3 linked regions of the Saccharomyces cerevisiae S288C genome follow. The gene in region 1 interacts genetically with each later gene. Each region holds a gene or a part of one and is shown in the gene's direction. Other genes may lie near its edges.

Evidence for each region. A genetic interaction does not mean that the proteins touch.
Region 2: mutations in PRB1 (region 1) and ODC1 together harm fitness more than expected from each alone (negative genetic interaction), as found in Saccharomyces cerevisiae (2 studies listed by BioGRID).
Region 3: mutations in PRB1 (region 1) and WSS1 together harm fitness more than expected from each alone (negative genetic interaction), as found in Saccharomyces cerevisiae (2 studies listed by BioGRID).

The regions. Positions count from the first base shown.
Region 1 is NC_001137.3:38,191-45,222, reverse strand, and holds PRB1 (proteinase B), read left to right. Parts: upstream 1-3,269; coding exon 3,270-5,177; downstream 5,178-7,032. Other genes in the region: SDD1 (Sdd1p), read left to right, coding at 1-203; phosphoacetylglucosamine mutase PCM1, read right to left, coding at 298-1,971; HHY1 (Hhy1p), read right to left, coding at 2,263-2,571; SOM1 (Som1p), read left to right, coding at 2,599-2,823; kinesin motor protein CIN8, read left to right, coding at 5,686-7,032. UniProt on the Saccharomyces cerevisiae protein: Vacuolar proteinase B involved in protein degradation in the vacuole. Among other substrates, acts on carboxypeptidase Y (cpY/PRC1) to activate it by processing its Pro-peptide.
Region 2 is NC_001148.4:298,071-301,391, reverse strand, and holds ODC1 (mitochondrial 2-oxodicarboxylate carrier), read left to right. Parts: upstream 1-1,888; coding exon 1,889-2,821; downstream 2,822-3,321. Other genes in the region: gluconeogenesis transcription factor RDS2, read left to right, coding at 164-1,504. UniProt on the Saccharomyces cerevisiae protein: Transports C5-C7 oxodicarboxylates across the inner membranes of mitochondria. Can transport 2-oxoadipate, 2-oxoglutarate, adipate, glutarate, 2-oxopimelate, oxaloacetate, citrate and malate.
Region 3 is NC_001140.6:370,070-373,058, forward strand, and holds WSS1 (metalloendopeptidase WSS1), read left to right. Parts: upstream 1-1,679; coding exon 1,680-2,489; downstream 2,490-2,989. Other genes in the region: IGO2 (phosphatase regulator), read left to right, coding at 1-380; NSG1 (Nsg1p), read right to left, coding at 653-1,528; serine/threonine protein kinase YCK1, read right to left, coding at 2,625-2,989. UniProt on the Saccharomyces cerevisiae protein: Metalloendopeptidase that acts selectively on DNA-binding proteins. DNA is needed to bring the protease and substrates together to enable proteolysis.

The DNA.
Region 1 (7,032 bases):
GGGTTTCCGTGTTAATCAACCGTATTGCTTTCGAATCGGCCACATCATCCATTATGGTAGTGAGAAGTTCATTTATTGAAAGTGATTTCTTTTATGAAGATTATTTGATTTTCGATTGCAGAGCGAAACGACGAAAAAAATTGAAGAGGAAAATTTTGTTTATTTCCACTACCATGAATTTCAATTACCAAACCAAAGTCTAAGCCTGTAACAAACGTTGATTGATACCAATATTTTTTCTCTTTCATTTATCTCTCTGTATATCTAAATAGCTATACTATACATCGAATAATGCTTTCAAGCAGATGCCTTAACGTGCTCCACCACTTCGTCACAAAATTGACCTAACTTAGAGGAGTCCTTACATTCCGCATAAACCCTCACCGCATCCTCCGTACCACTGGCTCTGACAAAGCTTCTTCCCATGGGATACTTGGCTACCACAAGATCTATCTTGTCTTGCAACCCCACTGGATTGAGCAATTTTCTTTCCTGGTCCGTGGTTTGGAAAATTGACCTATCAGGAACGATGCACTTAACCAGCTTGTTGGGCAAATCAGTATACTCTTCATCCCAATCCATTGGCGACATTTTCAAAATCGCCAAAGTAGCAAGGACAGCAAGCATGTCTGAAATAGCATCTCCCACGGTCTGATTAATCAATTCAGAGAAACACTTCAAAGTTCTCAAAGCTAACGTATCACCATTTAACTTGGACTTGGATAATTCAGATTTGATAGTTCGATGAAATTTTTCGCTGAATATAATCGTACCATGTCCATTTGCTTCGAAATAAATGCCAATATCGTACTGAGTGGCAGCTTCATGATGCAAGTGTTTAACACCTGTCTTAGTGCAAGACACGGGACAGTGCAACGTATTTTTTATGTAAGCGGTGGAACTGCCGTTTGCATAGGCAGTTTGCACAACACCAATCTTCAAAGAATGTTCTAGGTGTGCCAATTCTAGTTGTTTAGACAAGAACTTTGCAAACAAAGTGGAAATTTTGTCACCATCCAACAAATGAAATTTTGATCCTGAGTCGACATAGTAGAACACAACCCTGTCTGCGTCACCATCAAAGGAGCAATATAGCGAATCAAACGAGGATGGAGAAAGACCCTTGGGTAATCTCTGGTTAGTCTTCACATAATCCGCACCGCATTCAAAATTCAACAGTTCTGGAACATCGGACCTGTCGTTGATTACCTCAACTTGCTCCGCTGGCACGTCCCAATCTTCGGAGGCCAGTAGTTTTTTCAACTGTGGACCACCGATACCATTGGCTGTGTCTATGAACAATTTTGGGACAGACAGCCTCTTCTCCAGCTGATACGTGGCGAAGAGCTCGTTGAAGGCTCCTATAAAGAACGAATAGTAGTCCTGTTCTGTGGCAACTGGCGCTGTGTCTCCTTCCAGTTTCCGCCTGTTGGACAAATCAGTAATGTAATGCAATTGAGGCGTAGTGACACAGCCTAGGTCCAAAACTTGCGCGTGGAAGACGCTGGCCATGGAGGAAGTCAAGCAGCGCAGCAAGTATGGACTACTTTCCCTAGAGTCTCTCCCAACCACGATGTGAGGCACGACGGTTGTATTCAAATCAATCTTTTCGTGTTCAATCAGCTTGGCCAACTCAACACGAAATTCTTCAAAATTAGTGGCAAAAGAGGCCGCATTGGCCAACTGCATGGCATATGGCTCCCATGTGGCCAAAAGCATCGATCCGTCTGGTTCCACGATCTTGACCCCGTTGTCCTGGTATGGGTTGTGCGACGCCGTGATCATCACCCCCACATACTGACCCTGAAGCTTCAGCGACCTGAGAACCGCCAGTATACCAGTACTGAACATCACCGTATCCAAATTCTTGGCCAGCGTTCTGAATCCGGCCGTACCGTAACTGAACTGCACATTCTTTGTGCGGCACGTGTCATCGTAGAGTTTGCACAATTGCTCGTAATCAACCTTCATCGTCTCTAAGCTTACTGCTGACCTTTGCCTTGGTCCTTGTACTTGTCTCGATTGCTGAAACCATTAACGGTTTTTTGTTCTTACTTAATCTTTTTTTTCCCGACGACGCAAAATGTCAGAAAAGATATAAATAGAGCAACGTTTCCTGCTACATGAAACACGCTGGCATATAGAAGAACTTCAACGAGCGAGGCTCTCTGAACAATCTGCTAATCGTGCAAGTAAGGGTTCTCGTGACAGTTCACCGTGTATAAACAGATAAACAGATAAACAGTCAGATATGCTTAATTTTTAACTGTAGGCTGTGCCGACATGCCATTTTATGCGGCTCACTTCTAACAAAAGTGACCATGACGCACAAGCAAGCAAACAGCCAAGTAAGGAAGCAGACAGCTTCACAGCACACACACACCGTTGTGTACGAAAATCCTCTGCAGAAGAGTGTATATGCCACTCATCCACACTTCCGCAGCGCAGTACGTAATGCGGTATCGTGAAAGCGAAAAAAAAACTAACAGTAGATAAGACAGATAGACAGATAGAGATGGACGAGAAACAGGGGGGGAGAAAAGGGGAAAAGAGAAGGAAAGAAAGACTCATCTATCGCAGATAAGACAATCAACCCTCATGGCGCCTCCAACCACCATCCGCACTAGGGACCAAGCGCTCGCACCGTTAGCAACGCTTGACTCACAAACCAACTGCCGGCTGAAAGAGCTTGTGCAATGGGAGTGCCAATTCAAAGGAGCCGAATACGTCTGCTCGCCTTTTAAGAGGCTTTTTGAACACTGCATTGCACCCGACAAATCAGCCACTAACTACGAGGTCACGGACACATATACCAATAGTTAAAAATTACATATACTCTATATAGCACAGTAGTGTGATAAATAAAAAATTTTGCCAAGACTTTTTTAAACTGCACCCGACAGATCAGGTCTGTGCCTACTATGCACTTATGCCCGGGGTCCCGGGAGGAGAAAAAACGAGGGCTGGGAAATGTCCGTGGACTTTAAACGCTCCGGGTTAGCAGAGTAGCAGGGCTTTCGGCTTTGGAAATTTAGGTGACTTGTTGAAAAAGCAAAATTTGGGCTCAGTAATGCCACTGCAGTGGCTTATCACGCCAGGACTGCGGGAGTGGCGGGGGCAAACACACCCGCGATAAAGAGCGCGATGAATATAAAAGGGGGCCAATGTTACGTCCCGTTATATTGGAGTTCTTCCCATACAAACTTAAGAGTCCAATTAGCTTCATCGCCAATAAAAAAACAAACTAAACCTAATTCTAACAAGCAAAGATGAAGTTAGAAAATACTCTATTTACACTCGGTGCCCTAGGGAGCATCTCTGCTGCTTTGGTCATCCCAAATCTTGAAAATGCCGCCGACCACCACGAACTGATTAACAAGGAAGATCACCACGAGAGACCCAGAAAAGTGGAATTCACTAAGGACGATGATGAGGAGCCATCTGACTCTGAAGATAAAGAACATGGAAAGTTCCATAAGAAGGGCCGCAAGGGCCAAGACAAGGAGTCTCCGGAATTCAACGGTAAACGTGCAAGTGGCTCTCATGGGAGCGCCCACGAGGGAGGAAAGGGCATGAAGCCTAAGCATGAAAGTTCCAATGATGATGATAATGATGATAAGAAGAAGAAGCCTCACCATAAGGGTGGCTGCCACGAAAATAAGGTGGAGGAGAAGAAGATGAAAGGTAAGAAAGTCAAGGGCAAGAAGCACCACGAAAAGACGTTGGAGAAAGGGAGGCACCACAACAGGCTGGCTCCTCTCGTGTCCACTGCACAATTCAACCCAGACGCGATCTCCAAGATCATCCCCAACCGCTACATTATAGTCTTCAAGAGAGGTGCCCCTCAAGAAGAGATCGATTTCCACAAGGAAAACGTCCAGCAGGCACAACTTCAATCCGTAGAGAACTTATCTGCCGAAGACGCTTTCTTCATTTCTACTAAAGACACCTCCTTGTCCACCTCTGAGGCTGGCGGTATCCAGGACTCATTCAACATCGATAATCTTTTCTCCGGTTACATCGGTTACTTCACCCAAGAGATTGTCGACTTGATACGTCAAAACCCATTAGTAGACTTTGTTGAGAGAGACTCTATTGTCGAGGCTACAGAATTTGACACTCAAAATAGCGCCCCATGGGGGTTGGCCCGTATTTCCCACAGAGAGCGCCTCAACCTGGGGTCCTTCAACAAGTATCTCTACGATGATGATGCCGGTCGCGGTGTCACGTCCTATGTTATTGACACGGGTGTCAACATCAACCACAAGGACTTCGAAAAGAGAGCCATTTGGGGGAAAACCATCCCACTTAACGACGAAGATCTCGACGGTAACGGCCACGGTACCCACTGTGCCGGTACTATCGCTTCCAAACACTACGGTGTCGCTAAAAATGCCAACGTTGTTGCGGTGAAAGTCTTGAGATCAAACGGGTCTGGTACCATGTCTGATGTCGTCAAAGGTGTCGAATATGCCGCAAAGGCGCACCAAAAAGAAGCCCAAGAAAAGAAAAAGGGGTTCAAAGGTTCCACAGCCAATATGTCGCTTGGTGGTGGCAAGTCCCCAGCTTTGGACTTGGCTGTTAATGCAGCCGTTGAAGTCGGTATTCACTTTGCCGTGGCTGCTGGTAACGAAAACCAAGACGCTTGTAATACCTCCCCAGCTTCTGCTGACAAGGCCATCACCGTCGGAGCTTCCACGTTGAGCGATGACAGAGCCTACTTTTCCAACTGGGGTAAGTGTGTCGACGTTTTCGCCCCAGGTTTAAACATTTTGTCCACCTACATTGGAAGTGATGACGCCACCGCCACTTTATCGGGTACCTCAATGGCTTCCCCTCACGTTGCTGGTTTGTTGACCTACTTTTTGTCTTTGCAACCAGGTTCTGATAGTGAATTTTTCGAATTGGGCCAGGATTCTTTGACTCCTCAGCAATTGAAAAAGAAGCTAATTCATTACAGTACAAAGGACATTTTGTTCGATATCCCTGAAGACACTCCAAATGTTTTAATCTACAACGGTGGTGGTCAAGATTTGTCCGCTTTCTGGAATGATACCAAAAAGTCCCATTCATCTGGTTTCAAGCAAGAATTGAACATGGATGAATTCATTGGATCAAAGACCGATTTAATCTTTGATCAAGTGAGAGATATTCTTGATAAATTGAATATTATTTAATTCTTCATTTAGAAAAATTTCAGCTGCTTTTTTTTTTCTTTTTCTTTCCTTAGGCGTCTCGAGGTTACAAGTCGGAGTCCCTCTTCACTATCGTTTGTCCACTTTTTTTATATCCCCATTATTTTCAATCTGAATTTCATTTTTTTTTTTTAATTCATGAAATTTATATGTCCCACGTATTACTACATATTTGCGTTTTTAATTAAATAAATAACTGTTACTTTTATTATATCTTATTTGCAGATCACTTATCTGATCAAATGTTTTCGTTTTCGTGTGTGGTGACGATGTATTAGGTACGCGAAATAAACAAAACAAACAAACAAGGCCGCAACAATAACATCATCTAAAGACTTCCTTTGTGACCCGCTTCTCAACAGCGGGTGTAGAACTTATGGTATGGCCAGAAAGTAACGTTGAGTATAGATACAGAAGCAAGCAATTCAAAGGAAAAAGTAATAAAAAGTATATAAAAGCGCAAAAAATACAACAAGAAAGAATTTGTTTGATGCCAGCGGAAAACCAAAATACGGGTCAAGATAGAAGCTCCAACAGCATCAGTAAAAATGGCAACTCTCAGGTTGGATGTCACACTGTTCCTAATGAGGAACTGAACATCACTGTAGCTGTGCGATGCAGAGGAAGGAATGAAAGGGAAATTAGTATGAAAAGCTCCGTTGTGGTAAATGTTCCAGATATTACAGGTTCTAAAGAAATTTCCATTAACACGACGGGAGATACCGGTATAACTGCTCAAATGAATGCCAAGAGATACACAGTGGACAAAGTCTTCGGTCCCGGCGCTTCCCAGGATCTAATTTTTGATGAAGTGGCGGGCCCATTATTCCAGGATTTCATTAAAGGTTACAATTGCACCGTACTGGTATATGGTATGACGTCAACAGGTAAAACATATACAATGACGGGCGACGAAAAGTTATATAATGGTGAATTGAGCGATGCAGCAGGAATTATACCGAGGGTTCTTTTGAAGTTGTTTGACACATTGGAACTACAACAGAACGATTACGTAGTAAAATGTTCGTTCATTGAACTCTACAACGAAGAATTGAAGGACCTCTTGGACAGCAATAGCAACGGCTCTAGTAATACTGGCTTTGACGGCCAATTTATGAAAAAATTGAGGATTTTTGATTCAAGCACAGCAAATAATACCACTAGCAACAGTGCTAGTAGTTCCAGGAGTAATTCTAGGAACAGTTCTCCGAGGTCATTAAATGATCTAACACCTAAAGCTGCTCTATTAAGAAAAAGGTTAAGGACAAAATCACTGCCGAATACCATCAAGCAACAGTATCAACAACAACAGGCAGTGAATTCCAGGAACAACTCTTCCTCTAACTCTGGCTCTACCACTAATAATGCTTCTAGTAACACCAACACAAATAACGGTCAAAGAAGTTCGATGGCTCCAAATGACCAAACTAATGGTATATACATCCAGAATTTGCAAGAATTTCACATAACAAATGCTATGGAGGGGCTAAACCTATTACAAAAAGGCTTAAAGCATAGGCAAGTAGCGTCCACTAAAATGAACGATTTTTCCAGTAGATCTCATACCATTTTTACAATCACTTTGTATAAGAAGCATCAGGATGAACTATTTAGAATTTCCAAAATGAATCTTGTGGATTTAGCTGGTTCAGAAAACATCAACAGATCCGGAGCATTAAATCAACGTGCCAAAGAAGCTGGTTCAATCAACCAAAGTCTATTGACGCTGGGCAGGGTCATAAACGCACTCGTAGATAAAAGCGGCCATATACCTTTCCGTGAATCGAAATTGACCCGCCTGCTTCAAGATTCCCTGGGTGGTAATACGAAAACCGCA
Region 2 (3,321 bases), on another chromosome or scaffold:
AATGAAAAATAGTTGAATATTAGAAAAAAGGATGAGGTCTCTGGGATGGAAGAAGAAAGTAATTCTTATGAGAAAATTTGCGGGAGTTCTTTGCCAGTGAGATAAAGTTTTTTTTAATTTTAATCAACACAAAATACACATATTTATATAAACTGACGAAATAATGTCAGCAAACAGTGGTGTAAAACGAGCCAGTAAGGCTTTTAAAACATGTTTATTTTGTAAACGGTCACATGTTGTATGTGATAAGCAACGTCCATGTTCTAGGTGCGTCAAGAGGGATATTGCCCATTTATGCAGGGAAGATGATATTGCGGTTCCAAATGAGATGCCATCACAGCACGAAAGTTCTCCGAATGATAATAATATACAGGGCAAATATGCAAATAAAGCACACACTGGAATTCCGTCTGACTATCAGAATGAACCAGTCAATAAAAGTGGATCCACATATGGAGAGGAACTGTCACCGAAACTAGACTCCTCTCTTGTAAATGATACAACCAGCTTGCTGCTTCCGCAACAACCTGTATTTGTGTCCGAGAATGTTGGTTCGGAATTCAGTTCTTTGAATGAATTTCTTTCTATGCTAGAAAATCCTCTATTGACTCAAACATCACTAAGTTCCAGCAGTGCGAGCAATGTTCATTTGGAAAATGGCTCACAAACCACACAATCGCCATTAGAGTACCAAAACGACAATCGTAGGGATGAAATAGGAGTGGCAAGACAAGAAAATAGGTCGCCTACTATTATGTCAGGTTCTTCCAATAGTATCTCGAAAGGGGATAAACAAGATCAAGAAAAGGAAGAGTCTCGAATTCTAGCGAATGCAAACGAAAACAGTGCACCGACACCGAAGGAACAATTCTTTTTAACAGCGGCGGATCCGTCAACAGAGATGACACCAGAACACCGGCTGAAGTTGGTCATAAATGCGAAGCTTGAAGCAGGATTATTGAAGCCGTATAATTATGCCAAGGGGTATGCAAGACTACAAGACTACATGGACAAATATATGAATCAGTCTTCCAAGCAAAGGATTCTGAAACCACTATCCACCATTAGACCGGCGTTTAGAACCATTGCGCGTTCATTGAAGGATGTTGACTTAGTTTTAGTGGAGGAGAGCTTCGAGAGGATGTTATTATCTTATGATCGTGTTTTCACCTCTATGAGCATGCCAGCGTGCTTGTGTAGGCGTACCGGTGAGATTTACAGAGCCAATAAAGAGTTTGCTTCACTGGTTGACTGCACAGTCGATGATTTACGCGATGGAAAGCTTGCGATCTACGAGTTGATGACAGAAGAAAGCGCTGTGAATTTCTGGGAAAAATACGGGTCCATAGCGTTTGATAAGGGTCAGAAGGCTGTTTTAACAAGTTGTAGTCTTCGAACCAAAGATGGAATCCGCAAACGGCCATGCTGTTTTAGTTTCACTATCAGAAGGGATAGGTACAACATCCCAATTTGCATCGTCGGGAATTTCATCCCTTTGTCATAAGCATAAGTAATACATAGTAGGTAATTGGTATTTCCAGCGTCATTAAAAAGCAAAGTAACGGGTTTACTTTTTCCTCAAGCCGCTGGCCCGAGCAGTTACTTGAAATAGCCGTATTACTACGAGCAATACGAAGACCTTTTTCTACCAGCATTTGTTTTTTTTCAAATCATTCCCATTATTACCCCAGGATCTTTTCATAATGCGGCGACCAGAGATAGGGAAAAAAACTGCGAACTGGCTGAATCTGATTTGGCGAAGGGCAGATTCTCGGGTATTTCTGTGAGGGTGACCGCCGTTGATATATATCAGTGACTTTTGGGAACCTTTATCTCATTTATTCTCAAGATAGAACTGTAACGAGGGTGAAAGAAAAAGAACTGTAAGATGACATCTATAGATAATAGACCTTTGCCGTTCATATACCAGTTCACAGCCGGTGCCATTGCCGGCGTCTCGGAGCTATTGGTGATGTATCCATTGGACGTGGTGAAGACAAGAATGCAATTACAAGTGACAACCAAAGGTCATCCCGCTGTTGTTGCAGCGAAAGCAGCAGTAGATCACTACACGGGCGTGATGGATTGTCTTACAAAAATTGTGAAGAAGGAAGGATTTTCGCATCTTTACAAGGGTATCACATCGCCTATATTAATGGAGGCTCCGAAAAGAGCAATTAAGTTCTCCGGAAACGATACATTCCAAACGTTTTATAAAAAGATTTTCCCCACGCCCAATGGGGAGATGACTCAAAAAATCGCCATATACAGTGGTGCGTCCGCTGGCGCCGTGGAAGCCTTTGTCGTCGCGCCTTTTGAACTAGTGAAGATTAGATTACAGGATGTGAATTCACAGTTCAAGACACCCATTGAAGTTGTAAAGAATAGTGTTGTGAAAGGTGGTGTTTTGTCACTTTTCAATGGGTTGGAAGCCACTATCTGGAGACACGTTCTTTGGAATGCCGGTTATTTCGGTATAATATTCCAAATTCGGAAGCTTTTGCCGGCGGCTAAAACAAGCACGGAAAAGACCAGAAATGATTTGATCGCAGGTGCTATTGGTGGCACTGTCGGGTGCTTGTTGAATACACCATTTGACGTGGTAAAATCTAGGATCCAAAGAAGTTCCGGGCCGCTGAGGAAGTACAACTGGTCCCTGCCTTCAGTGCTGTTAGTTTACCGTGAGGAAGGGTTTAAAGCATTGTATAAGGGATTTGCGCCAAAGGTCATGAGACTTGCCCCCGGTGGTGGGTTATTGTTGGTAGTTTTCACGAACGTCATGGATTTTTTCAGAGAAGTCAAGTATGGTAAAAAACAATGATCCTGACGCTTTTTATTTCATTTTGTTGTAGCCCGCCCATACATGTATACGTATATATATATATATATTTATTGGAAGTAAAAGTAAAAAACTCGCTTACCTAGCACATGTTTAAACAAGCGTTGAAATGAAGGAAATAATGAAAGTCTAGTTTTGTCTAGCGATAAATAGTGTTAATTAAAACAGCCTTTTACAACTAAAGAATATTTATATAATAATGATGCCATATACCACACATGGGAAAACAAATATATAAGGGGGAAGTGGGAGGATGAAAAAAGAGTAATGAAAATACTAGTAGTACCAGGTGAGGTAAAACAAGCACGTCCGTCCCGCTTTCACCCTGGAGAAATATATCTAGGAAGATATGCATGAGAAGAGGGAGAGAAAGGAAATGCTAGATTAAGGGAAAGAAATATGACAATATTAATGAGAAACATCCATGCTTGCACAAATTAAGTCCAACTTGTTGATTAGTGAGGGTTTGATCTTGTTCTTGT
Region 3 (2,989 bases), on another chromosome or scaffold:
CACCTACAAGCAGCAGGGTGGATTTGAGCAATCCTCATGGGTTTACCAAAGAGGGAGTGGATTTATCGAAGCTGTCACCACAAGAACTAAAATTGTATAAAATGTATGGGAAGCTTCCATCCAAAAAAGATCTGTTAAGACATAAGATGCAGGATCGTCAATATTTTGACAGCGGAGATTATGCATTGAAAAAGGCCGGAGTCATTAAGTCGGATGACGTTATCGTGAATAATTCTAGTAATAATCTACCAGTGACCAATCCTAGCGGTTTAAGAGAGTCTATTATTAGAAGACGTATGAGTAGTAGTAGTGGTGGCGATTCTATCTCGAGACAAGGAAGTATCTCAAGTGGACCTCCACCAAGATCTCCAAATAAATGACTAATGAAGGAATGATATTATGTGGTATTACTTTTTTTTTATCATCACTAGCTTCGGCTAAGCCCTTGCATTTTCAATATTCAATTACCAAATAATATATATATATATATATATATATGTATGTATGGTATACCTTGTGTTACTGATGTGTTTTTTGTTGACGTCATCCTTTTGATTTACTCACATGCTTAGTAAATGAAGGTTGTTGAGGCCTAAAAATCAGCTAAGATTTACACATCGATACTAATCATTGAACGCCCCTATGGGAACACTTAATTGAATAAATATCTGCCCAACTTGCTGAACATCAAAAACCCAAAAAAATAGAAATCTATAAAATACAACGCCAGTGACAACTGCGAGAAACATTGTGAGCAAGTGAACGCACTAAGGGCACCAATTACTAGACCTGGGAAAAAAACGGTTAAAGTGCCATCAAAGAACAACCACAGAACAATGTTTAATAAGCTCCATGCACCAGCTGCCTGCAAAGAGGAGGACCATTCAAGTTTCCTAATACCAAATATTAAGCCCAAAAGAGTATTGGCACATCTTATAAATGATCCTAGGGTGTTTTTGTAAACTGATGACCTGGTTTTTGGCTGGTGTTGATAACGAACGAAAGAGTCAATGAATGGTACTATGGAACCAAAGATAACACCTTCAGTACCAAATACAGCCCAATCAGGCACCATGTCAGGTTCCGCGACGATCTTGTTCTTAATTTCTATACCATGCTTTAAAAAGGATACGATATCTCCCTTTGCCAATTGGTCATTATCAAACAAACATTCTGATATCATGGGGAAGAGTATTCCTGCTATGAATAGAATAAAAAATGCAGCAATAGTATTGATTATTTTCGCATACAATGACCTTTCGTGTCTCGCAGTCGCGGATGGCGGAACCATTTCCAATTGAGAGGCGTTAGACAATAAAGCCTTGTCATAAACATTACCTTCATTCTTGGTAATATCGTCATCATAAAATGAAAACAAAGCGGGCTTAGTCAGCGTATTTATAGCTGTAAAACTTGCGCTTCCCAGCTTATTTCCCAAAGGTGGCAAAGCTGCCTCTTTCTTGGTATTATGGACACCATTAGGAACACCTCCAGTGTTTAATTGGTTCTTACTCTTCTTCTTGCCCATTAGTAACCTCCTCTGTTTAAATTTTTTTTTTCTCACTTGCTCTGAATACCAAAAGGTGAGTTTGGTGAAGAAATTTTGACACTTTTTCTTTTGCGCTGTATTTTGTAACAACGCATATTTTGAAGATATTCTAAATAAGAGAGATTGATTAATGAAGACAGAAGGAATAAAAAGCCCATCGGCAAAATACCATGATATGGCGGGCTCCCAGAGAATCCCTCACAAGAACCCGCACATTCAAAAAGTGGCTGTTTTGCAAAGTAAGCCCAATAAGGAAGATGCGCTAAATTTAATAAAGGAAATCGCACATAAAGTTTCCTATCTAATGAAGGAAAATCACTTCAAAGTGACCAACTTGGTGGAGTTTTACCCACGTGATCAAAGACTCCTGGGAATGAACGTCAACCATGGATCTAAGATAATGTTACGGTTAAGATGCTCCACGGATGAGTTCCAATTTTTACCCATGGAGTGTATAATGGGCACCATGCTGCACGAATTAACTCACAATTTATTCGGTCCACACGACAAAAAGTTCTACAATAAGCTAGATGAGTTGATTGGAAGGCAATGGGTTATTGAACAAAGAGGTTTGTACGACACATTTTTGGGGAACGGTCAACGTCTCGGTGGAAGAGCAAACTTACGTTCAAATAGATATCCTATGACAGGAATAAGTACTAACACAGGGATAGTGAGAAAAAGGGGCAAAGGTGTGAAGTTAGGGAGTTTGCATCCAGAGGGTATATCATCTATAGATAGAGGTAATTCCCCGAGAGAGTTGGCGGCTTTTGCAGCCGAAAGGAGATATAGAGATGATCGCTGGTGCGGAGAGACGAAGAATAACAAAGATCAAATAATAAGTGATAATATTAGCAGCTCCTTAGAAGTTGTAATCCTTGATGATGATGACGAGGTACTCCCGGGAGATACTCTTATCGAAGTTATTGATCTCACTTAATCTCTTGTCCACAGCGAAGAACTCGAAAATTATAAGTATGGTAAATGTCGTTTCGGTTGTAAAGTATACAGATATATTCACATTACAAAAAATGTAAGAAAGACGGTAGTCTTGCAAAAAATGTCATTTCTATATTTAGCAACAACCTAATTTTTGGAAAAAGCCCTTATGAGAAGCAGCTAGACTTGAATTATCGTCATTTGGGTGCTGTTCAGGAGTTCTTAAAGCAGCAGAAGGTTGTTGTTGTGGTTGATAACGAGCGCCAAACTGCTGAGATTGAGTTTGCGCTTGAGGCTGAGATGGAGGTTGGCCTGTTGCACGTAGCTGTTGCTGTTGCTGTTGCTGCTGTTGCAATTGTTGCTCTTGAAGTTGTTGCTCCTGAAGTTTTTGTTGCTGCTGTCTCTTTTGTTGTTCTTGCAGGTATTTCTGCTGGGTTTGATGCTGGTAAGCTTCATAAGAAGTAGGGTCTAACTTTGGTTTATATTGAGAATTGCGCATAT